3 linked regions of the Notamacropus eugenii genome follow. The protein of the gene in region 1 interacts with the protein of each later gene in a pairwise test. Links are inferred from orthologs where the notes say so. Each region holds a gene or a part of one and is shown on either strand. Other genes may lie near its edges.

The links. The genes of interacting proteins can lie anywhere in the genome.
Region 2: the proteins of RGS2 (region 1) and LRFN1 interact in a two-hybrid assay, tested with the Homo sapiens proteins (2 studies listed by BioGRID and IntAct). The link is inferred for Notamacropus eugenii from reciprocal best matches to the Homo sapiens genes RGS2 and LRFN1.
Region 3: the proteins of RGS2 (region 1) and DDR1 interact in a two-hybrid assay, tested with the Homo sapiens proteins (2 studies listed by BioGRID and IntAct). The link is inferred for Notamacropus eugenii from reciprocal best matches to the Homo sapiens genes RGS2 and DDR1.

The regions. Positions count from the first base shown.
Region 1 is NC_092873.1:449,848,756-449,856,537, forward strand, and holds the start of RGS2 (regulator of G-protein signaling 2), read right to left. Parts: upstream 3,005-7,782; 5' UTR 2,781-3,004; coding exon 2,671-2,780; intron 1,583-2,670; coding exon 1,481-1,582; intron 1,366-1,480; coding exon 1,304-1,365; intron 633-1,303; coding exon 466-632; intron 2-465; coding exon 1-1. UniProt on the Homo sapiens protein: Regulates G protein-coupled receptor signaling cascades. Inhibits signal transduction by increasing the GTPase activity of G protein alpha subunits, thereby driving them into their inactive GDP-bound form.
Region 2 is NC_092876.1:32,141,757-32,149,048, reverse strand, and holds the start of LRFN1 (leucine-rich repeat and fibronectin type III domain-containing protein 1), read left to right. Parts: upstream 1-4,289; 5' UTR 4,290-4,375; intron 4,376-6,343; exon of another isoform or gene 6,344-6,373; intron 6,374-7,292. Other genes in the region: GMFG (glia maturation factor gamma), read left to right, coding at 102-175, 401-472. UniProt on the Homo sapiens protein: Promotes neurite outgrowth in hippocampal neurons. Involved in the regulation and maintenance of excitatory synapses. Induces the clustering of excitatory postsynaptic proteins, including DLG4, DLGAP1, GRIA1 and GRIN1.
Region 3 is NC_092873.1:84,698,147-84,705,014, forward strand, and holds the start of DDR1 (epithelial discoidin domain-containing receptor 1), read left to right. Parts: upstream 1-3,865; 5' UTR 3,866-4,068; intron 4,069-5,508; exon of another isoform or gene 5,509-5,733; intron 5,734-6,706; exon of another isoform or gene 6,707-6,868. UniProt on the Homo sapiens protein: Tyrosine kinase that functions as a cell surface receptor for fibrillar collagen and regulates cell attachment to the extracellular matrix, remodeling of the extracellular matrix, cell migration, differentiation, survival and cell proliferation.

The DNA of each region.
Region 1 (7,782 bases):
TCTGAAATAGAAATGGACAATGGTTTGTTAAGTTTCAGCACATCATATTAATGTTGAATAACTAAATTTCAGATGTCATAAAATACTGGGCATGAATCTAGAATAGTGCAGCTTCATACTTCTAGCTTTGTAACTGTGGGTCAGTCACAACTTCTCAGAGTCAGTTTCATTATTTGTAAAAACTGGAGATAACATTTGAATGGACCAGTTCAAGGAAGCTGTTGTATGGAAAGCAGTTAACATATTTCAAAATGCTATAATGATAACAGCTAATATTTGTCATGAAAAAATATTAAGGACCATGCCCTAATACTCTAAAGTTAATATTGGGGGAAAATATGGAAAGTTATGGTGGGATAAAAACTTTTGTCCTATTAAAACAAAAGAATATTTGCCCTTCTTTTCACTGGAATTCTGCTAAGAACTTAAAGTATTCAAAATTGTGCCAAAATGAAGGATTATTACCTCTTTTGGAGCCTCCTTTTCTATGAAGTCAGTATAAATTTTCCGAGCCTTTGAGTTCAACTTCTGGGGAGACTTGGTTTTCTTGAAGTCTTCACAAGCCAGCCAGAATTCTATGTTTTCTTCACAAAACTCAGACTTTAAAAAAGCCCTAAATGCAGCAAGACCATCTAGAGAGGAGGGAAATGTGAAGAATTTATTAAAATAAAAATGTCTTACATTACTTTCTGTTATTTATCTTTTCAACAAACCTAAGACTTCAATACAGGATTTTCTATGTTGCAGTAACTTGCCAGAATTTACTCAAACTTGCAAAGCTCTAGGTTTCAGAGTTTAAATGCCAGCAGGTAAATTTCTTAAGGTTGGCACATTGCCATTCCAGAGCACCTTCAAATATATAAAAACTACGCTATCAAGGAAAAAGAAATAGCTCTGGTGGAACCATAAATCCTATTGAACTAAGCCCTTTGAAAACATTGTTTGCAAAGGAAAAGTTGACTCAACCTTAACTGTGAACAAATGCATTTGTAATCAGGCTGAGTCTCACTCTCTCACTCTCTTCCCACCTGAGGATATTTTACTGGAGGTATAACAATACACACAATTCCACTGGTTATTAAAAAAAAAAAAGGACATTTGTTTGAATTTAGGGCAGAACTTCCTCATAATGAGGGGAAAAGAAAAAAACAACTAATCCAAACCTTACTTATGTTACAGGACTTGACCCTGGAAAACAATTGCAATGTCCAACTTCTAAAAATACATCAATCTAGTTTATAATCCATGGATTCAGCTACCGAGATTAAAATCACTTCAGATTGAGTTTAATATTTCCACTTACATTTACTGGCAAGAAGCTCATCAAAAGTTTCTGACCACAGCTGTGCTTCTTCAGGAGAAGGTCTGCAAAAATGAGTGCATACATTTAAAAAAAAATTTGAATTTCTCCTACTTCAAAGAAAAGGCAAAATGCACATTAGACAAAAGTCCACTGTTAAGTTTGGGATCTCTAACTTACCTAATAAAAGCTTGCTGTTTGCCTTTCTTGTTGGCTTTTGGCTTCTCAGGTGTGGATGAGTTTTGAAGGAAGTAGCTTAAACGTGTCTTCCAGTCTTTTATGCTAAAAGGAAACAATCATATTCAGTGAGTGATGATGCTTTATCATTATAGCTGCCCACATTTTACCAAGTACTTCTATTCATACCAGAAACAGAATCTTAAACGACAGAAAGACAAATAAGACCTTACCAAAATAAAAACCTAAGCACTGCAGTGAAATGAACCTTTCTGCACTAATAATGTTTAAGCTTATCTTGAATGATCTGAACATGGCTTTTGGTTTTACTGGTTCATTAAGTAGCCAAGGTGAGGTTGCTTTAATGATTGAGAAACTTTAAGTCATCCTAAAAGTGGTGAATGAAACAGGTTTTCCTTTTGGCCAGTGTGAAATTTTAGTTTCTGCAACACTATGACAACTCTGGGCCATTTTCAGTCATCTGGTGAAATCTACTTCAATGACACTGAAATGAGTCAGAGCAGTCTAATTAGTTTCCTCCTTACTCCCCCCCCCCCCCCTCCAAAAATTGAAGGCTTTGGATAAAGCCCTACGTGGAAAGTTTGTGCAACAGTTCTCAAAAGCAATTCTAAGTTTCTCCTTTCAAACAAAAGAGCTTTAATACTTTCTAAGAAGAGAGAAGCCAAAGAAGTAGGTCTCCTAGTTTAATAACTCTTCTCACTTGGGAAGTAAATTCGTAAGCCCAGCACCTGCTGTATCAATAAAGGCATCCCTGTCCAAGGAGCAAGATAGAAGTCGGGCAGAGCTACCGACCTGGAGAGTTAGAATACGGAGAAAAAGGCTGGAACTCGGGAAGACAGGATTTTCAGGCTACTTTTATTTTTCTTTAATGAGGGAGTGGAGGGAGTATGATTTCTTCTTTTAAAAATCGAGGAATGTCCGGGGATTAAATGCATCCCAATTTATTCTTCTTGGCTTAAATAAGAGAACAAGACCCTCCCTCCCCCTAACTGTGATAAATAAAAACCGCTACAACCTTACTTTAGTCTCCTTTAAAGACTGAGATACAGCCTGTTATAAAGTAACCTCTTACTATGCTTTTCTAACCGGGGGAAAAGCTTCCTGATGCCTAGTGTTTCTGAAGAAATCCCATAAAAGGAGAAGAAATGGGAGTAGGTGGGAGAGATGCTTACATCGTGCGCTTCATCTTTTCTCTCTTCTCTTCGCCCTTTGGGTAGCTGCTGGCACTTTTCTCCATGGAGCCGCAGTTGGGTTGGAAAGCCAGGAACATAGCACTTTGCATGATACAGATCCGAGAACTGGGCTGAAGACGGCAGTCGCCTCTGAAGGCTCCTCCTGGAGCCGCCGGGCTTTATAAGACTCGGAGGCTGGGGAAGGCGAGGGCGATGGCGTTCGACTCCGCCCCGCCGCAGAGAGGATTTGCTGGGAACAAAAGATATGTCAGCGACCGCCTCGGGAGTCCCCGCCACCCTTCACTGGGGCTGGAGCTGAGGACAGTGCTGACGTGAGTGCTCCCTGTGAGTTCATGCGCAGTGATGCCAAAACGGAGCTGGAAACTCTGAAAGGGTTTTTTTTTGCGGGGTGAGGTGGGGGGGGGGGGGGGGGGGGAAGGGAATAAACAAAGATCTCTCACTGTATGGCTCAGGCTGTTAACCTTTTTCGTGCGTGCTGCGGGGCTCACCAGACGAACCTGGAGCCACCTTGGATGGAAAGAGCGGTTCTTGATTCAGGGAGAAAGGAGAGAGATGGGCACGACTCGGTGTGCTCCCCCTCTTCTTCCCACCTCCTCACCCCATGAGCCAAAAGACACCTCATAAGAATCGTGTTTGAAATCTGGGCTTCAGCATCTCCGCCCTGGTACATCTCACTCCATTGTATATTTTAATTGAAAAGTGAAGCTTTTTAACTGAGAAAATTGCTTTAATTTGTGAACTGTCAGAGACTTTTTTTAAAAAAAAGTCAATCCTTGTTTAATTGATTGGCTCAGAGCCTAGTAAATTACTTTCCGAGACTGATTAGTTTAAAGCAGTCAGTACTTAGAACCAAACTCGCCTCACCAAGTATTATGCCTTTCATTGAAAACTGTCTCACCTTTTTCAAAGGGTGTTCGGAACCCTGCTGTGGCTGACTTCGGCCAGATTGATTCTGAGATACATTCATCTAACTCAGGTCTCAGCTGGACGCTTTCCTGCCCCAGGTCAGTTCCTCTACGTCTGTTTAAGGAACTGACCTGGGAAGCCCTTCAAGATGTCCTTAAAACGTTCGTGTCAGGGCAGCCTGGTGAATGCAGTTATGCTGAATGACCTCCCACCTGGACCTTCTCTGCAGGGCTCCCAAATAGGATTGTGTCCACCTTGTTCTATTTAGGGGAAAATCTGATCTAATCGGGAAGGGGAAGTGCTTACTTTTGACACAGCCATTGTAAGAATCTCAGGTTTGACCAACACACCTAAGACAATGTTTGGAAACAGGAATTGTTCAAACAAAAAAGTAGAAGGAAGGTGTTAGTTTATCAGAATACAATAATTGAAATCTAGATTTCATAGATCTAGAGCTGAAAGGAATCTCAGAGGTCATCTAGAGATCAACCCACTGTTTTAAAGATGTTGAAAATGAGGTCCAGAGGTTGTGATTTGCTCAAGGTTAGACAGGTAGTCAGAGGCTGGTTGGGTTGAATCACAGACCCTAAGGATGGATGTCTCTCTGACCACATCTCTTTATTCCACCATGTTAGATTTTTAACTCTTTTGCCCCTTAGTGCTAAGTACTTCCACTTAATGCTAAGCACCTACTATCAGTTAAGCAAGGTGGTGAAATGGATAGAGCACCGGGCCTGGAGTCAGGAAGACCTGAGTCTTCAGATCCAGTCTCAGTTACTAGCTGTGTGACCCTGGGCGAGTCACTTAACCCTGCTTACTTCAGTTTCCTTATCTCTAAAATGATCGAGAAGGAAATGGCAAACCACTCCAGTATCTTTGCCAAGAAAACTCCACATGGGTTCGCGAAGAATTGGACACAATGACAGATTATTGAACAACAACGACTGATTTATTTTCATCCATCGCCTGCTCATGGCTCTCTACCTCTCCCCTCTCCTCTCCAATATTTTATCCTGTAGAAAGATGTAGGGATTTTGGCTCTTAGGTGTGTTGGAAGTGTTTGTTCATGTGTTTTGGTGGAACAGAATGTTTAAGCTGGAAGTCATTGTAGAGGCCATGCAGTTCTGCCTCCCTTTTGCAGATGTGATAACTGAGGTTCTTGGGGCAAAGTGACTTATCCAAGGCCACTTAACAAATAAGTAAAAGATACAGGTCTCAAACCCAGGTCAAGTTTAGGGTTCATTCCATTATATATGCTTATTAACCTGGCTCAATTCCAGAATCCGTATAGAGAGACCGGGGTTCATTCTGAACCATGTTATTTTTAGAAGCATAGGCGTGCAGAGTAAAATTTTCCTGTACATTTGACATTTGGCAGAATTAGGATGTACAAGTATTTTATGTTTCAATATATTTGAATATTATGTATTTAACCTTTCTCAAGTTTTTGACACGGAGTGCTGACCATAAAGAAGAAAAGACCTCCACGGTACTATAATTTGCATTTCTCTGCAACACCTCCAGAATTGAGCATAATCCTATTTATGCTGAGGCAGCTCAAAAGCTTTCACTTGTCTATCATGTATCGTGATAGTTAATATTAATTGATTTTATGAAATGATTGTGTAAAGTCAGTGTTCAGTTGAGGAAAATTAAATTACTGCCTACTCATCAGATGTGTTCTATCCTCTGTACTATACAGTTCAACTCTGTGACTGCAGAGAACATCTTTATCGTGCAGCGGAATATTCAGGTGCCTTTTATTTCTCCATCTCCTCCCCTCTCTACCCCACCTCCACTTGCACACAGTGTGAAAAGAACACAATAGATATGACAGCTGGGACTGGATCTATTGTATCAGCTACATTATCTTTGCAAGGCAAATGGATAATTTTGCCAATGAACCACAAGTCTTTGTTTCCTATGTAATTCCAAATCGTTTCCTATCAAGAATCTAATCTGATTGTAAAAGTTACAGCAAAGTATTGGCATGGTTGCAAATCTCACCTTTCTTTAGACTAAAGTGCAGTTATGAGTGAACTATAATTATTCTTATGTTCATCTGCCAGTAGCTGGAGCTCTAAGGATGGAAAAAATACATGGCCACGGACCACAGGGGCAGAAGCTTCACCTATTTTAATAACAGAAGAATAAGGCTGTTGTGTAATCCTGGAAAGGCACTTGATTCTGAAACGTTAGATGACCCACAGGTATTTAATTTATATTTTCCCTCAGTCTCTTGGGGAAAAATTAAGGAAGTAAGAAGCATGCATGCTTTCTTTTTCTAATACTGTAAAATGGTTTTTGTATCTCTATCTCTTCCCTCTTTCCATATGCTCCTTCCCCCATTCCAGCTTTTATGTATGCATAATTTGGAATCTTAGAAGGTATAGTTGAACTGGGATTCATGGAAAACCAGTAGTTCAAATAAGATTAGGAAATAGGATATGCATAATTACAGGTATTAAAATATTCAAAGAATTTTATAAATGAATTTTTCTAGGAATTATGTGTACTAATTATAACATAATTAAAATTGTCTATGACTATTACAATATTTAGGAAAGATGGTAAGAGTATTGTGAGTATTTAATTTTGATAGTTAATATAGTTACTATATTGTACAGAGAATCTACATTAAAATGTATTTTTGCAGGAATGGTATTTAATAAAATAAAGATTTTATTACTGCCCTTAAATAGAAAAGTGCTTCATTTGATTATATGCTTCTTTATTTCTTCTTGCAAATAGACTTTAGTCAAAGTGGATTACTTAATTTGAAAATGGCACATATTTTCCATCCTGTGTTGGTAATAAACACAAAAAGCAATAAACTTCGCTCAAGTCTAGCAGCCTGAGAACTTGACTATGTTCTTGTTGAAATGACCATGCCCCCTACTGGTAAGATTTTTGACCAAATACAGAGAGATCCAGCTCCTGGATTTATTTTTAAATTTTTATAAGATTTAAACCTGTTAAGGATACTATTGAATCTCAGATCTGTTGAAGTATTATTTAACTAATACCTCAATGATAAAAGGCTAAAATGTTAGCCTTTGACCATATATAGAAGAAATAAATAGAAAAAAAAATTCTAGCCCAGAATTTATACTATTTCAGGAAGCTCAAAAACTTTCACTTCTCTTACCATGTATTGTGGTAGCTGATATTAATTGCTTCTTATAAAAGGAACTTGTGAATTCCACACTACTTCCCACTCATCAGACGTGCTCAGAAATAGTCCTCATGTTCTATTAATACCTTGTTAAAATTTGCATTTTTCAGAATCTGTTAATAAGTTCTTTTATTGAAGCACTTGATTCAGTTTATAAGTACCCTCTTTGATACCACATGTTGGAGAAGACTTGTTCTCCTCAACTTTACTCAGTACAAAATCCTGATTATAGGAAATATGTCTTTTTGGAAATCCTTACTTTGAGTAGTTCTATAGAGGCAGCTGGTTGATAATGCGGATAGAGTACTGGGCCTGAAGTCCAGTTTAAAGCAACCATAGATACTTAACATCTCCTCCACAGCCATCTGAATCCAGTGACCAGATATTCATCAGGATGACTGGAGATGACCCAGGATGCATTGGGAGACCTTGACCCCTTTAGGTCAAGGTCTTTGCAGGTACTCACTTAGGGTGAGGCAATGCCCATTCATTGAATAGGCCTGTTTAAGAAGCATCCAGGGCATGGCCCATTTAATGAGGCCAAGAAAAAGAAAGACATCAGACTGGGAGAGAAACAGCAGCAGTGACTGTGGATAATCACTCTAAAGCTAGAAGGGTCCAGAATAGCCCTTAGGCAGGACCCCATTAGCATCCCAGCTTTGGAGTGCAGTAGGTTTAAGGTTTTGGGAGAGCAGAGCAGGGGAGAGGAGAGGAATTAGCCAGTAAAACCGAGTCAACTGGGCATCTTTTGGCCATCCAAATTTACCTTTCTTTGGAGAGCAGAAGGAAGGGGAGGGGGAAGCAGACGGAGAGGAGGAGCTGAGTTACCCAGCTAGCTGGGTCACCATTCAGCCAGCTGAGTCTTCTCACAGGTTTGTCTTCGTCCTTCAGTTGCTGAAGAAGACCATGCCATCAGAGAAAAGATAACATGACTTGCACTTGACTTGCACAGCTCTCCCTCACTCAAAACAAAGGGACACCAGTGGGGTCCTACCTATGGGCTATTCTGG
Region 2 (7,292 bases), on another chromosome or scaffold:
AACTTAGGTCCAGATCCTTATAGTCCTACCCCAGGGGCCCTCTCCCTAGTAATACTTTCTTTCTTCCCATTGACCCCACGATTTCCACCCCTACCTACCAGGCTGTAAACCGGAACAGCAAATGATGTATGCAGGAAGCAAAAACCGACTCGTACAAACTGCCGAGCTCACCAAGGTCGGGAGCTTTGGGTTCCTGAGGTGGGGGAGGGGTGGTGTCCATAGGGTTTGGCCACGAGGGTTGTAAGTACCACCCCTTCCTGCCCTGGGACCAGAGAACCACGAGAGGGCACTTTAGATGCTTGAAGACAGATAGCTGGCCCCCCAGCCACTTCTCTGATTGCCTGAGTCCCTGAGATATTTCCCAATCCCCAGTCCATTCATTCTCTCGATCCCTCATTAGGTGTTTGAGATCCGCACCACAGATGACCTGACAGAGACTTGGCTTCAGGAGAAATTGGCCTTCTTCCGTTAGCTGGGGGTAGCCGGAGATGTCCAAGGATCTGGAGACGGGACACCTGGTTTCTGGGAAATGAAATACCCTCCGACAAAATAAACTAGTGAAACCTGACCTGACCCTAGTAGTTATCCTGACTCCGCCCATGCAGCCTCTGCAGGGCCCCATGTGGTCAGCAGAGGGCAGTCAGCCATCACAGAAGTGGGAGGCCGAATGCAGGCAATCCGGGTCCCACTCTGGAGAGGCTTAGGGAAAGGACACCAGGTTCCCTGAAAGGGTAGAGGGCTGAGTGATGGGCCACCTGGGTCCCTAAATGAGCAGAAGGCAGGGGCGCAGAAAGCGTCTGTCCTGAGAGGGAGAACTAAGAGGCACAACAGCTGGGTTTCGAAGAGAAGGAGGCTATAGGAACCAGACATCAGTCCTAGAGAGAGAGGGGGACTGGTAGCTCCCATATTCTTGCAAAAGCTTGCCAGTCATTTTCAGCTTTTCCTTTTCCTTCAAGGAAGGGGTCGGTAGGGGAACCGACACTTAGGGAAAGATAATGAGACTCAAAATTATTTGAGAAAGAGAGTAGAACCACATGGAAGTGCTTTCTGAGGTCTAACCACTCTCCTCAGTGTTGGGGTCAGACTTCTCCTCCCTCCTTCTACAGCTCCACTATAATGTGTGGGTTGGGGGGTAGCTGGAGATACAAGAGAGCATGAGCCAGGCCCGTGCCCCACACCCCTCAGAGATCAAGGTGTGCCCTGGTCCAGAGCAGATGCTTCTTTTGCTCAAGCTGAGGCCATGTTTCCATGGCAACCAGCTATCATCCCCAGGTCTCCAGGCCAGAGAAGTATGTCTCCAACCTCTAGATGAAGGGACTTTACCCCAAGGCTCAAGGGGCAAGGAAGGGGCTCCTCAATTAATTTTCTTTGTTTCTTTTAGGGTTGTGGGTTCTGTTAGGATTGTATCTATGCCCAACCACTGGAAGCAGAGTCCCCAGTTCTTGATCACAGGGGTCAAGCAGAGTTCTCCCCATTTCCCTCCAAAGGTGTCTCCCATTCCTACCTCACATACCTGGATCTCCTTCCTTCCTCCCTTGGTATAGAGGGTTCCTATGATCTCTATAATTCCCTAAACTTGGGGTGGGGGTAGCAGAGAGGAAGCACCCGCCCACCAGACAGCAGGGTTTGTCAATCTGGGAATTAGCATGCAAAGGAGGAGGTGGTGGCAGGAGGAGATTAAAGCAGTAAAGTCACCAAACAATTTAATGTAATTGCTTCAGGGAATGGGGAGTAAGAGGGAGGGAGTAAGATTGCCCACCATCCCTGTCTGAAAGGAGGATCAGCGGTCCAAGTGGACCCCATAGAAAGGGGCCTGGAAAGCCACAGTGGGGGGAAGAGAGAGCCAAAGGATCCCTGTGTTTCCCTTCTCTGACTCCTAGTCTCTAGAGCCAGGAAAGCCCCTCCTCCTCCTCCTCTTCCTCCTTCATTCCCAGGTTACTTGAAGGAAAGTGGTAGCTGTTGCCATGGTAACAATGACATAGTGACCTTGGGCCCCAGCCACCCCAGCCACCATTGATTCCAAGTCTCTGCAGTAGAGGGGCAGGAGTTTCCAGGCTGATCCTTCTCTTACCCCCTTCAGGAGGACTTCCCTTCCATTTCCCTTCTCTCCTATCTCATCTCATAGTCTAATGCCTGTAGCCAGGATGGAGATGCTAGTACCAGGCCTCTTCATAATAAGGCAGTCTGGTGGTCCGGGTAGCACAGAGGCAGACTCAGTCATCCTCCCCTCCAGTTCATATGGAACCCCACCTTTACCCATTTTACTGATCACTGGTTGGACTCTTGGAGACTCATTAGCTCTTCATTCACTGGGTCTCAGCTTCCTTGTCCCTAAAATGGGCAGATGAGAATAAGGCATCACAAGCTCCCAGTTTTAACATTTTGTGATCCCCTACACTCTCTCTCACTCTGATTTGTTGTGGTGGAGGATGGGGGAGTGAGAGATCCCAAGCACCAGAGAAGGAAGGGGTTGAGGCTTCCAGGAAGTGGAAGTTCCATAAGTTAATTAGTAATAAATACCACATAGGAATTATAAATCCCCTGCCCTACCCAAAGAAGAAAAATCTGATTCTTAGTGGATTTGAGGAGGAGCAGGAAGCAGCATGGTACGGTTTGATTTTTTTGCCCCCAAGAGACCTTGGCAGAGCAATTTGTCCCCTTCAATGCAGAAGGTTCAATTAGAGATGGGTGCTGGGAAGGGGACCTGAACTGGGCAGGGCCATCTGGATTGTAGAATAACCAGAGTGGAAATTTCAGAAGCTTTTGTCCAATCCAGGTTGAGTAGAGTGGAGTTTAGTCTGGGGAATTCTAGAAGGACCAGTCAGAGAAGGTACTGAGAAGGCTTCTGTTCAACCCGGAATGGCCAGTATAGGGCAAAACTGGACAACTTGTAGACTGATGAATCAGACAAGGTTACTGAGAGGGTTTGGTGGAATCATTTCCCTTCCATGCCCCTTAGTTTCTACCTCAGTTAAATGGAAGGGTTGACCTGGGTGACCTAGGTCCCTTTTGGCTTAAAGGTGTGTGTGTTCCTATCATTACTAGAATCCCTTGTCTTGTGAGTCTATCCCAAGAGGGTGTTTTGGACCAAAGACTTGTGGAGGGACTGGATGAAGGGGGAGATGGAGAGGATGCTGTAAAAGACTTTTGGGTGATCAGGGATGCTGAGAAGCAGGCTAGGTCTGAAGGATTGCAGAAAGGCCTTGGAGAAGATGAGTGGGCTGGTCTGTTCTAAGTATACCTCCCTCCTCCCTTTCTCACCCCTCTGCCGCACCAAACTCCTAGTCCCAGCTTTCCAGGTTTTGCTCATCCCCAGCTATCCCATCCTTTTTAGACTCAGTCCAGGTGGGGGTCTTCTTGGGGGCGTTCAAGAGAGAACTGAATCATAAAATCATAAATAGACCAATCAGAAGGCCTGATTGGTAGACAGAGAAAAGGTTGGGGTATGGAAAAAAGGAGGAGTATAGGGCTGGGGCTAGGCCAGGTGGATGGGGGAGGCAGACCACAAGGATGCAGACGGGGGCAGAGAAGGCCCTCTTTCACCAAAGATAGAAACTGGCCTCCCCCAGGAAGGAGGTGTCCTTTCTCTGGATCCCAGGTCCGTCTTCATCTCCCACGGCTCAGGACCTCCTTGCTGAGCCCCTACTGTGTGCAAGGTCCAGTCGCCATGGCTGGCGCTGGCGCCCGAGTTTCTGCCCCGATTTCCCGGGCTGTGTCTCTGTCTCCATGCCTCCTGGCTCTCCCCAGCCTTCCCCTTCCATTTCCATCACCATCTCTTCCAGTTCCACGCGGACCCTCCTCCTCCTTCTGCAGCACGACCTCGCCCCCACGCGAGTCCATCTGGTCCGCTGAGGCAGGGGACCAGGGGGACCCTGCCACGCGGGGGTCCCAGACCTGGCATGGCCCCTCCCTCTGCGGACGGGGGTTGGGGGGCGGAGAGAAGCCGGGGCCAAAACCCGACCGCCACGGTGGGGGGCCTCGGCTGGGAGGGGTCCACGGTGCTCTCGCTCCCGGACCCGGGAGCAGGGGAGGGACCCAGGCGCGCCCGCCTCCCCGCCCCCTCGCCCCTCCCTTCCGCTCCCCTCCCCCCTTTTGCAGATCGGGCGCCCGCGCCCCGCGCTGTGCGGAGGGAGGAGCCGCGCGCCGAGCCTCGGCGGTACCGCGCCCCCCCCGCCCCCTCCCCCCAGCCCTCCCGGCCCCGGCCCCCCTCCCTCCTTCCCTCCCTCCCTCCCTCCTCCGTCCCCATCCCCCTTCCCTCTCCGTCCCCTCCCCTCCCCTCCCCTCCCCCCGCCATGGCGCGGACCGAGGCGGCGGCGGCCGGAGCCAGAGCCAGAGCCCGGGACCGGGCCGGGGCCGGGGCCGGGCCCCCCCGGAGGTGAGCCCGGGTCCGGGGCGGGGAGCGCGGGGGACGGGAGCGTGAGCGCTGGGCGATGGGCGCTGTGGATGGAGGACGTGTGCGCTGCGGGCCGTGTGCGCGTGTGTCCGCGCCGCTGCGGTGCCGGGGTCCGGGGGTCCGGGCGTGTCTGGGTGCGCGCGTGTGGCCGGGGCTGCCGGGGCCGGCTCGCGTGCCCGGCATCTGTGGATCTGTGCGCCCTGATGTGTTTGCTCGTTGGTGTGTCCGTGTGTGCTCGTCTGCATGTGTGTGTCCGTGTGTGTCCGCCCGTGGGCCTGTATGTCTCCGAGTCTGTCCATGTGTCTCCGTGGGTGTCCGTGTGTCTCAGGGACAGCTCCTGCCTCAAGCCCTTGGGAGGGGAGCGGCAGGGGGGGCACCGTGGGCCTGGGTCCCTGGGGCTTTCTCTGCGGGGAGGACTCAGTCGTTTTCTCCCCTGCCGGTGAACAGACCTAGGGCTAAGCCAGGGGCTGGGAGCCGGACGCATGGACACCGACTCCAGGGGAGAAAGGTGGAATCTGACCGGAGACTACCCCCTCCCTTTCGAAGGGGGAGGCCAGCCCAACCCTGCCCCTCCTAGCTACATCTCCCAGGATCCTTCAGAATCTGCCCAGATCCGTGGGGATCCTCAGGCCTCACGAGGGAGGGGGCCCTGAGGGACCCTGCCGTAGGCCCAGATCGGATTTTATTTGCAGGATTCTCTCCTCCCTTTCCAACACCAGCACATTTCAGTGTTTTGGGAATGGGGCCTGGAGGAAGCCATGAGAGAGACTCCTGGACCCCATTCCCTCCAAACCCAGACATCCACCCCCCTCACTCTCCCCTTGTCCCCCTCCATCCCAGACCCAACCCTACCTGCCCCATTTCCATCTCAGGAGACTTGACCTTCTGACCCCTCATCTTTGTTCCTTAAATCCTGATTCCCGGAGGCCCAGATTCCTGGTTCTCTTTCCCTTGACTGGGGTCAGGTTTGGTCCTAGACTTCCCCTTTGGGGTGGTGAGAACTGGACCAAGGTGAGGCTGGAGTGAGAGATCCTGGGATCCAAGTGTGATTAGGTCTGCTTGTTACTGCCTGGCTGTGGGTCTGTGTCTTTCTGTGTGTGTGTGTATATGTGTTTGTGTGTGTGTGTGTGTGTGTGTGTGTGTGTGTGTGTGTGTGTGTAAGAAACCATGTGCTACCAGCCAGTCTCCTCCCTTCCCACAGCTTTTTGTGTCTATGTATCTGTGTGTCAGGGTCCCAGCATATATTTTCACTGGCTGGGCTTTTTGTCAACTGCCTGTGTACATGGGGAATATATGTTATATGTGATATGAGTATGTGCAAATACAGGTATGTTCTTATGGTAGGTTGTGCATGCCTTCCAGTGGGGACCTGTATGTGCTGGCACGTGTGAGAACAGGTGTGTGTACAAGCATGTCTAAGCATGTGCTGTGTGTCTTGGCATGACATGGAGATTACACATCAGTGAGGATGTTGAATCTGTGGACCTACCTTCTTTCCTTCTTCCTCAGTGGGCATGAAGGACTGGGAGCCTAGGATACTTATGTTCCCTTTAGAGAGGCAGTTTTGGGATAGAGTGTTGTCTCTGGAATCACAAAGACCCGGGTTCAAATTCTGTCTCTGACACTAGCTTGGAAACCACTGGCAAGCAAGTCAACCTGATTCCCTGAATCTGCAAAATGGGGAGGTTGATAACATTTAGTGCCTATCCCAAAGGTTTTGCTGTGAGGCTCAGATGATATGTAAGTGAATATTAACAAACAAACCATGAGTTGTTCTGGAGGGCCTGGAATCTTGGGTTATCAGGTTTGTGTCAAAGCCCAAAGCTCTGTTGCCCTGGGCCAAAGTGAAGGACTGGGGAAGCTGCAGCAGGAAGGATAAGAGAAAGACTGCAGAAGGGACTTCCCCAGTCCCCAGGTGGGACTGATGGGGGAATGTTGCTGTCTTTCCAGGTGGTGCCGGCCATGAATTCCTGAGGAGAGGTGAGCTGAGAAGTCAGATGCTGGAGGGGGCAGCTTGGAGAAGCATGTCTTGGGTGAAGGGGTAGCTTAGCCTGGTATATGGGGGGGGAGGTTGGAGAAAAACTGGGGGGAAGGTGTCATCTTTCGCCACATGGATAGTCACATATGATAGTGGAAAGGACACCCAGGATAGGAATTTCTTGATGAGGTAGAAGAGGGAAAAGGGAGACAGGTGGCTGACTCTGCTCCTACCAGCCTAGGGGAGGAGTTTGGGTAGAGCTAGTTGATCAGGATCCAGCATATGTAATGTAAGCCCAACCTCCAAGTGATGCTGTGAGATGGGATTGGGGGTCACAACACTGTGGAGGTGGTTTTTGAGGGGCTCCTGCCTGCCCTCCCTAGGCCCAATTTCTCCCTTGCTGGTCCAGACTGAGGGACAGAAACTGAGCAATAGAGGACGAAGAAATCCAGGAGACAAAGGAAGAAAAAAGATAGAGAAACTCAGAGACAGAGATGGAGAAACAGGCACAAGGACTCTGAGACACTGAGAAGCAGAAACGAAAAACTAGATACAAGAAGTGGGAGGCTCAGAGAAATGGAGAAATTGACATAGGGGACTGAAAGGCTGAGAGACAGAGAAGAGAGGAACAGAGAACCCCAAAGACAGTGGACCAGAAATACAGCTTCTGAGGACCTCAGAGATAAGAGAGAGGGGAGGAGAAAGATATCTGAAGACAAATAGACACAGGAAGTGAGAGGGAGAGGGGGGCAGAGACAGAGAGAGAGACAGACACATAGACAGAGATAGAGAGACAGATACATAGGGAGACAGACAGACAAAGAGAAAGATGGACACATAAGAGTACAGAGATAGAGGGAGAAAGATAGACACATAGGAAGACAGAGAGAGACACACATAGGAAGACAGAGAGAGAGACAG
Region 3 (6,868 bases), about 370 Mb from region 1:
GTAACTTTTACCTATAGCTCTGGGTCCACCAATGAACAAGTCTAATATATTTTTCAACATTATAGCCCTTCAAATACTACATCAGCAAATGTTAATGGATAGCTGTGTGTCAGAAACTATGCTAGGTCTTAGGGATAGAAAGATAATAGTGAAATAATTTGTGCCCTCAAGGAGCTTACAGTCTTGGGAAGACACAGCACATTCACACACACGTGCACACACACAAAGATAGGTAATATAAATAAAGAATTTATTTAGCACATACTATATGCGAGGGATACATGGGATATTCAGGGAGGAGTAGTACCTTTGGTGTGAGGGCTGTTTTCAGGGATGCTCCCATCTTTGACCCAACTCTCACACGTGGGTCCAAGAAGCTGTATGTAGCATGTGCAGTGGTCACACTCTGGTAAAACCATCTTGGCAGATGGGCTAGACCAGGTTGACAGTAACTGACTGACCTCAAATCCATTGGTGAGTTAGAAGGATGTCTACCACAAACATGTGAAGACTTTCCCCAGTGCAATGGAAAGATGAGGACAATTTATTCCAGAGGCCATGAAGGCAGCTGAAGTGGGCTCTGTGGAGTAGTTAGAGCTTGATCAGACATCAAAGACTCCACTCCAAGGTCATTCACTGCATCTCAGGCCATCTCTAGTTGTTCTGACTTTTGCCTTGCCACTGAACTGTGATTATTCTGGAAGAGAGTGGTCATGGAATTTGGAACTCAAAACTTTTTTTTAAAATATCTTAAAAGTTCTTTTAAAATATAATTGGGGAAAATAAAATATTATATAAAAAAGAGAAAGTGAAACTGATGACTTTGTACAACTCTTTCACTTAAACATAAATTACTTAAATATAAAAAATTTCTATATATTGGCCCTTCAAAATGAAGGACAAATGACACCAACTATATGCCAGGCATTGCATATCCAAAACAGATTCAAGATAAAATCTTGAATTTTATTCAAGTACTAGTGACTGAGGGGACAGAAAAGATTTACTGTAGAAAATAGTATTTAATCTGATCCTTGAAGGAAACTAGGGATTTTAAAGAGGGGAAGGTACATTATAGAAATGGGGGATGGGAAATTCAAAGGCATTGAGATGGGGGATAAAGTGCCTTTATCCTAAAGAAGAATAAAAAGGCTAGTTTGGCTGGATGTTAAAGGGGACTAATATATGATAAAGCTGGAAAGGTAGGTTGGGGGCAGATTATGAAGGGCTTTAAATGCCAGACTGAGAAATTTACATTTAGTCCTAGAGGTAATGGGAGCGTCTGGAGAATATTGAGTAGGGGAGTGGCATGGAAAATCACTTTAGTAGTTATTTGAAAGATAGGTTATAGTTGGGAGAGATGAGGCAGATATACCAATTAAGAAGCTGTTGAAATAGTTCAGGCAAGAAGTTATGAGGGCTTGAATGAGGGTGGTGGCCTGGTAAGTGAAAAGGGAACAGATAAGACAAGTACTGTGGAGATAGAAATGACAAGATTTGGCAACTGATTGGATATGTAAGAGAATAACAAGTGAAAATGTTGTTAGATGTTGTTAACTTGAGCTGAAAAATGGTGATATCCTAGATAGATATAGGGCTAGAAGAAGGGTGAGTTTTGGGAAAAAGTTAATGAGTTCTGGATATATTGAATTCGACATGCCTATGGGAATACAGTTTTAAATGTCTCATAGGCAGTTTGTGACGTGGGATTGAAGTTTAGGAGAAAGATTAGGGCTAGATGTATAGATCTAGAAGTCATCAGATTAGAGATGATAATTAAACCCATGGGTGTTGATGAAGTCACCAAGAGAGAAAGTATAGAGAAAAAACAGAAGAGGACCCAGGACAGAGCTTTAGAGGTACATCTACTGTTAAAGGGCATGATAAAGAATGATGAACCTCTAAAGGAGACTGAGAAAGAGCGGTAGAAGAAAATTAGAAGGAAAGCCACGGAAGCAGTGGTACAAAAAAACCAGAGAAGCTAAAATGCCCAAGAATAGAGGGTGATCAAAACTGTCAAGTGCTGCCCAGAGGTCAAGGAGGACTGAGAAAAGGCCACCGCATTTGACAATTAAAAGATCAGAGGACAACTCAAAGACAACAACCTTTCTAACTATTCCTCCTAAATTCTGTCTTCTGGCTAAAGAAACTGAGAATATTATATTGATCATTGTATGGCATAGTTTTGAGTACCTTTACTACAATGATAACTGTTCTCTGTATTTTCTTTTGATCTCTTCTGTATTTTTAAAAAAACTGCTTTAAAGACCCTTTTTTCTTCTTTTTTCCTTTCTTTCTCCAAGCAATGCTATTGCTAGCTTCCCCGTTCTCCAAAAACCAAAAACCAAATCTTTTTTGTAACAAATAAGCATTGTCAAGCAAAATAAATCTACACATTTTCAATGTCCAAAAGTATGTTTCATTCTGTACCTTGATTCCATCACCTCTCAGTTGGGAAGTGAGTAGCATTCTGCATCACTCACTGATCCTCAAGACTTATGGTTGGTTATCGAATGAATCAGTCTTCCAAAAGCTCTTTCAAAGTTTTGCTCACTTTTAATTTGCATCAAATCATATAAGTTTCCCAGAATTCTCAGAAACATCCCACTCATTATTTGTTATGGTATAATACTATTACATATACCATTACTTATCTGTATGCCATTCATATACCATAATTTGTTCAACCATCTTTTAACTGACGGGCATCTTCTGTTTATAGTTCAAAAGGAGCTTCTACAAATATTGATGTACAGATGGACCCTTTTCCTTTTTCTTTGATCTCTTTGGGGAGAAGCTTATATTCTAATAGACATCCTTCATAGGGAAGTAGGACCTAGGAAATGGTATTTTGACTTGGAAAATACAGAAACTATAGTTACAATAAAAAATACCGATGATGACATTGTTTGTGGGCATAAACAGGCCTAGAGTTGACCCCTCAGAGTTTGTTGAGAGATTTTATCACCTGCTGGCCCCGTTTTCCTCACTATGGTTTTGGGGCCCCTGTTTAAGCACTACCCCTGTCTATCCACTAGGGCTCAGACATAAACCATAGAACTCAGGTGACTCTGGTTTTCTATAACTCAGAGTCAAAGAACAAACTCTCCAGGGATGACGTGTGAAGCCAAAAGGAAAGCCTCTGGGAGACTTAATATATGTCTTCTGGTATTTTAAAGGTTATCATGTGGTAGAGAGATTAGACTTGTCTAGTTTGGCCACAGACGGCAGAATCAGGACCAATGCATGGATGTTGCAAAGATTCAAATTCCAGTTTTGATTTAGAGAAAACTTCCAAACAATGAACACTGACCAAAAGTGTAATAGGCTATCTTGGAAGGAGGAAGGTTCCTCCTCATTGAAGATCTCTCATCTGCGTTTGGATGGCCACTTGTAGAGTTTGCTATGTTGGAAAATTCCTGGTAGAGAGGTTTGACAGCCCCTTCTGTCTCTGATCAGTGATTCTGTGAGCTGCTATCCCTACTGTGCATTACCACCAAATTCCAGTCTCTGCTTCTGTGCAAAGGCTGCTCCTTTCAGCCCATAGAATGGATTCTCACCTGCATCCCTTACCTGTGCCAGTCCTACAGCTGCCCTATCTTGCTGACTGAATAAAAGGGGCCACACATGTTGTATCCTCACATCTCTGCCTCTTAAAAAAAAAAATCTCCCTTTGTTCAAGCTGTCGCTTTGTCTAGCTGTTTTGTTGTTGTTCTATTTTCCCATGCAGCCTCCTTTCTTACTCGGCTTTTCTCCACCTAACCTTGCCCTCCCCCACTTTGCCTGGCTCTTAGCACTACTCTCCCAGCGGGGGCTGAGAAGGCTTGGAAGAGGGGTATGGGACTGGCGTTGCCATGACCACCACAAAGCCGGCCGCAGCTGGTCGGGGCAGCTGCTCCCAGGATCCTGTGCTGGGACTAAGCACCGCCCTGAGTGGACAAAGCCAAGGAACCGGGAGGCCCTCGGGCCCCACGGCAGGCACCCCCCCCTCCAAATTCTGGGCCTAAACGGAAAGGACCCAGGGGATCCCTGAGCCCAGCCACAGGTCAGAGGTGGGGGAATGAAGAGGTGAGTGATCTGGGGGTTGGAAGGACTGCGGTTTGGACGTCCCTCTCTGGGAGAAAGGACAGACAGAAAGGGAGGGACAGACCAAGTCACTGCCTGGAAGAGAAGGGCGGAGGGGAGAGAAGATTGGGGATGGGGAAAGAAGGTAGCAGGAGTGGATGGGAGGGGAAACGGGGCCTATTAGGAATAGGGAATGTGGAATAGTTAGGGTGTGGAGAATTGTGCTAGGGAAAGGGATGGGGGTTGGGAGCTGAGGTGGGTAGGATGCTACTAGGTTGTGGACTTTCTGATCTATGTGACCTCATCTTCCACTTCAATATCCTTCATCTTTCCCCTTTTTTCTCTTAGTCTCCCTATCTTCTGTGTTCCATCACTCCCTTTCTTGCTTCTAGTGACTTTTTCATTTCCCTTGCTCCTCAGCTTGTATGTTTCTCTCCCTCAGTTCTGGTTACCCTCTCCATACATCTATTTTATACACACCCCCTTTTTTTCAGTTTCTCACGCTTTTACTATCCTCTCCCTTCAGTCATTCCTTCGAAGGGTTATTAAACTAATCTTGCTTTTACATTGAACTGGCCATGTCACTCCTTTGCTCAAAACCTTCCTATGGTTTCCTATTATCTACAAAGTTCAATCTCCTTAATATTCAAGAACCTCCATTTAGTACCACTCATCCATCTTAGTCTTCTTTTATACTACTTCCCTCCCCTCCCCCTTGGAGTATTTTATGCAGCAATCAGAGTGGACCCACTGTACAGTGGCTTGGAATTTTCTACCTCTGTGCTTATACTCACAGGGTATTCTATGCCTGGAATGTTTTCCCCTCTGTTGAATTCTTCCTCATGCTTTAAGGTGTAATTTAACTGTTGCTTTGTGGATGAAGCCTTCCCTGTTTCCTCCTCTTACTCCCTGCTCCCCACACCAGAATGTAGTTCCTCACATCTTTGTCTTTACTTCTCTTTTCACTTCTCTCTTTTACTTCACTAAAGTAATTTTGTATTTATAGATATTTGTGTATGTTATAGCTTTTTTTAGATTGTAATTTCCCTGAAAACAGGTGCTTTTTGTGTTCACCAGCACTAACGTGGTCCTCTGAAATTTACTAGAATTCTGTTAGCCTTACCCTATTTCTCCACACCTACCTCCCTCAGTTGTTCCTTTGCATCTTCCTCTTTTCTTTTCCCCACTTTTCTTTAGGATCCCCAGACTCATCCCCTCCTTCTTTCTCACCTTTCTGTTTCTCAGCCAAGAGGCTCTTTCCTTTTCCTTTCAGTTTTTTATCTCCCCATTTTAGTGACCCCCCCCCCCAAACTCCTCTCCTTTATCTATGATTCTTATTTTCATTTTCTTTCACAATAGGACCAGAGCATGGTTCAGTGATCTAAGTATCAGGCCTTCCCAGTTTGGTTATTACCAACCTCCCCCACCTTCACCCCCAAATACCTTTTATATGAAGGCTCCTTTGCTTTCTGTCCCCCCAGCTGTTTTCCTGCTTCTTCCCAGAGCCAGCTGCATCTCCAGGAGGAAATCTAGCCTATTATGGGAGGTCCATCCAGCTTGATCTTTCCTTCTTCTTGATGTTTCCCAACAGTGGTTGGGTGGTCTGCTGAGCTGGGAGCTTCATTCTCCTGTTGCCCCCTCCCCAGCCTTCAGCTTCTCCAGTTGCTCTCCCTGACACAGCTGTGCTGTCCCCCATGGGCAGTAAATTCATAGATTGCTAGAGCCAGAGGACCCCTTATAAATCATCTAGTCCAATCATCTCCTTTAACAGGTGGGGAAATGGAGGCCCACAGAGCTACTTTAGGTATGACTTGCCCAAGGTCACACTGCTAGTTAGGACTTTGGACCTACTTAGTCCTGCTCCTTTTCCTATTCTAAATTGCCATTTGAAGCTTACTGCCTGGCAAGATGAGGATAGCCAAGGACATGGGAACTCCTAGCAAATGAGATGTGGCTGTGTGGAATTGGAGAAACATAGGGTCCTCAGGGGAATTTAGATGATACAAAGACATGAGGGCTTGTGGGGAAAGAAAAAGGTCCTGGGATGATGACTTGGGAACCTCTAAATTGGGGTGGAAAGGCTATGGGGACTCTAGGGAGGTGGAAATGAGGACATCAAGACTCTCCTTATGGGGAAATTGGGGTCCTTTGGCTTGCTCTGGAGCCATCTGTATTGCTGGGCTCTCCCCTCTCCCGCCCCTGGGAATCTCGGCTCCAGTCTTACATTCCAGTTGGCTCCAGCCTCCTTTCCCTTGTCACTTGACTCCGCTTGGCACAGCATACTTCCCCTTCCCACTCTCTCCCCCCTCCACAGGCTGTCTACCCCCAGTCCCCTGGCCCTAGGCTGGGGTGCTCTGGAAGGAATTAAGATGACTGAGTACCTTAGCCCAGGGACTGCTAGGGGACTGGGGCCATGCTAGGTTTATAGTCTTCCCAGATCTCCCTTTCCTGCCTTGACCCCTCTCTGTCTGGCATTACCTTATCATGAGTCCAGGGTCAATATTGATCTGGAGTGGGGAATGTCTCAATGGAGTGCAAGGGGCTCAAACTCCATTCCTGAAAAGTCTGGCTCTGGCTTTATGTCCTCCCTCACTGGAGTTTCCCTTTCTCGTTGTTGCTGCTACATCTGCCTGCCAGGATCGTAGTCATCTCCAGCCCCCTGGAAAAGGAGGATGGGGGTGGAGGCTGAGGTGTGGTTACCTATTCTAGGACCTAGCCCCTCCCTCCTGCTCAGGTCCGCCTACCCCCCTCCCTACCCCTCCTTGTCTGGCCTCTCTGGGAACCCAGTTTCCCCATCTGCCTG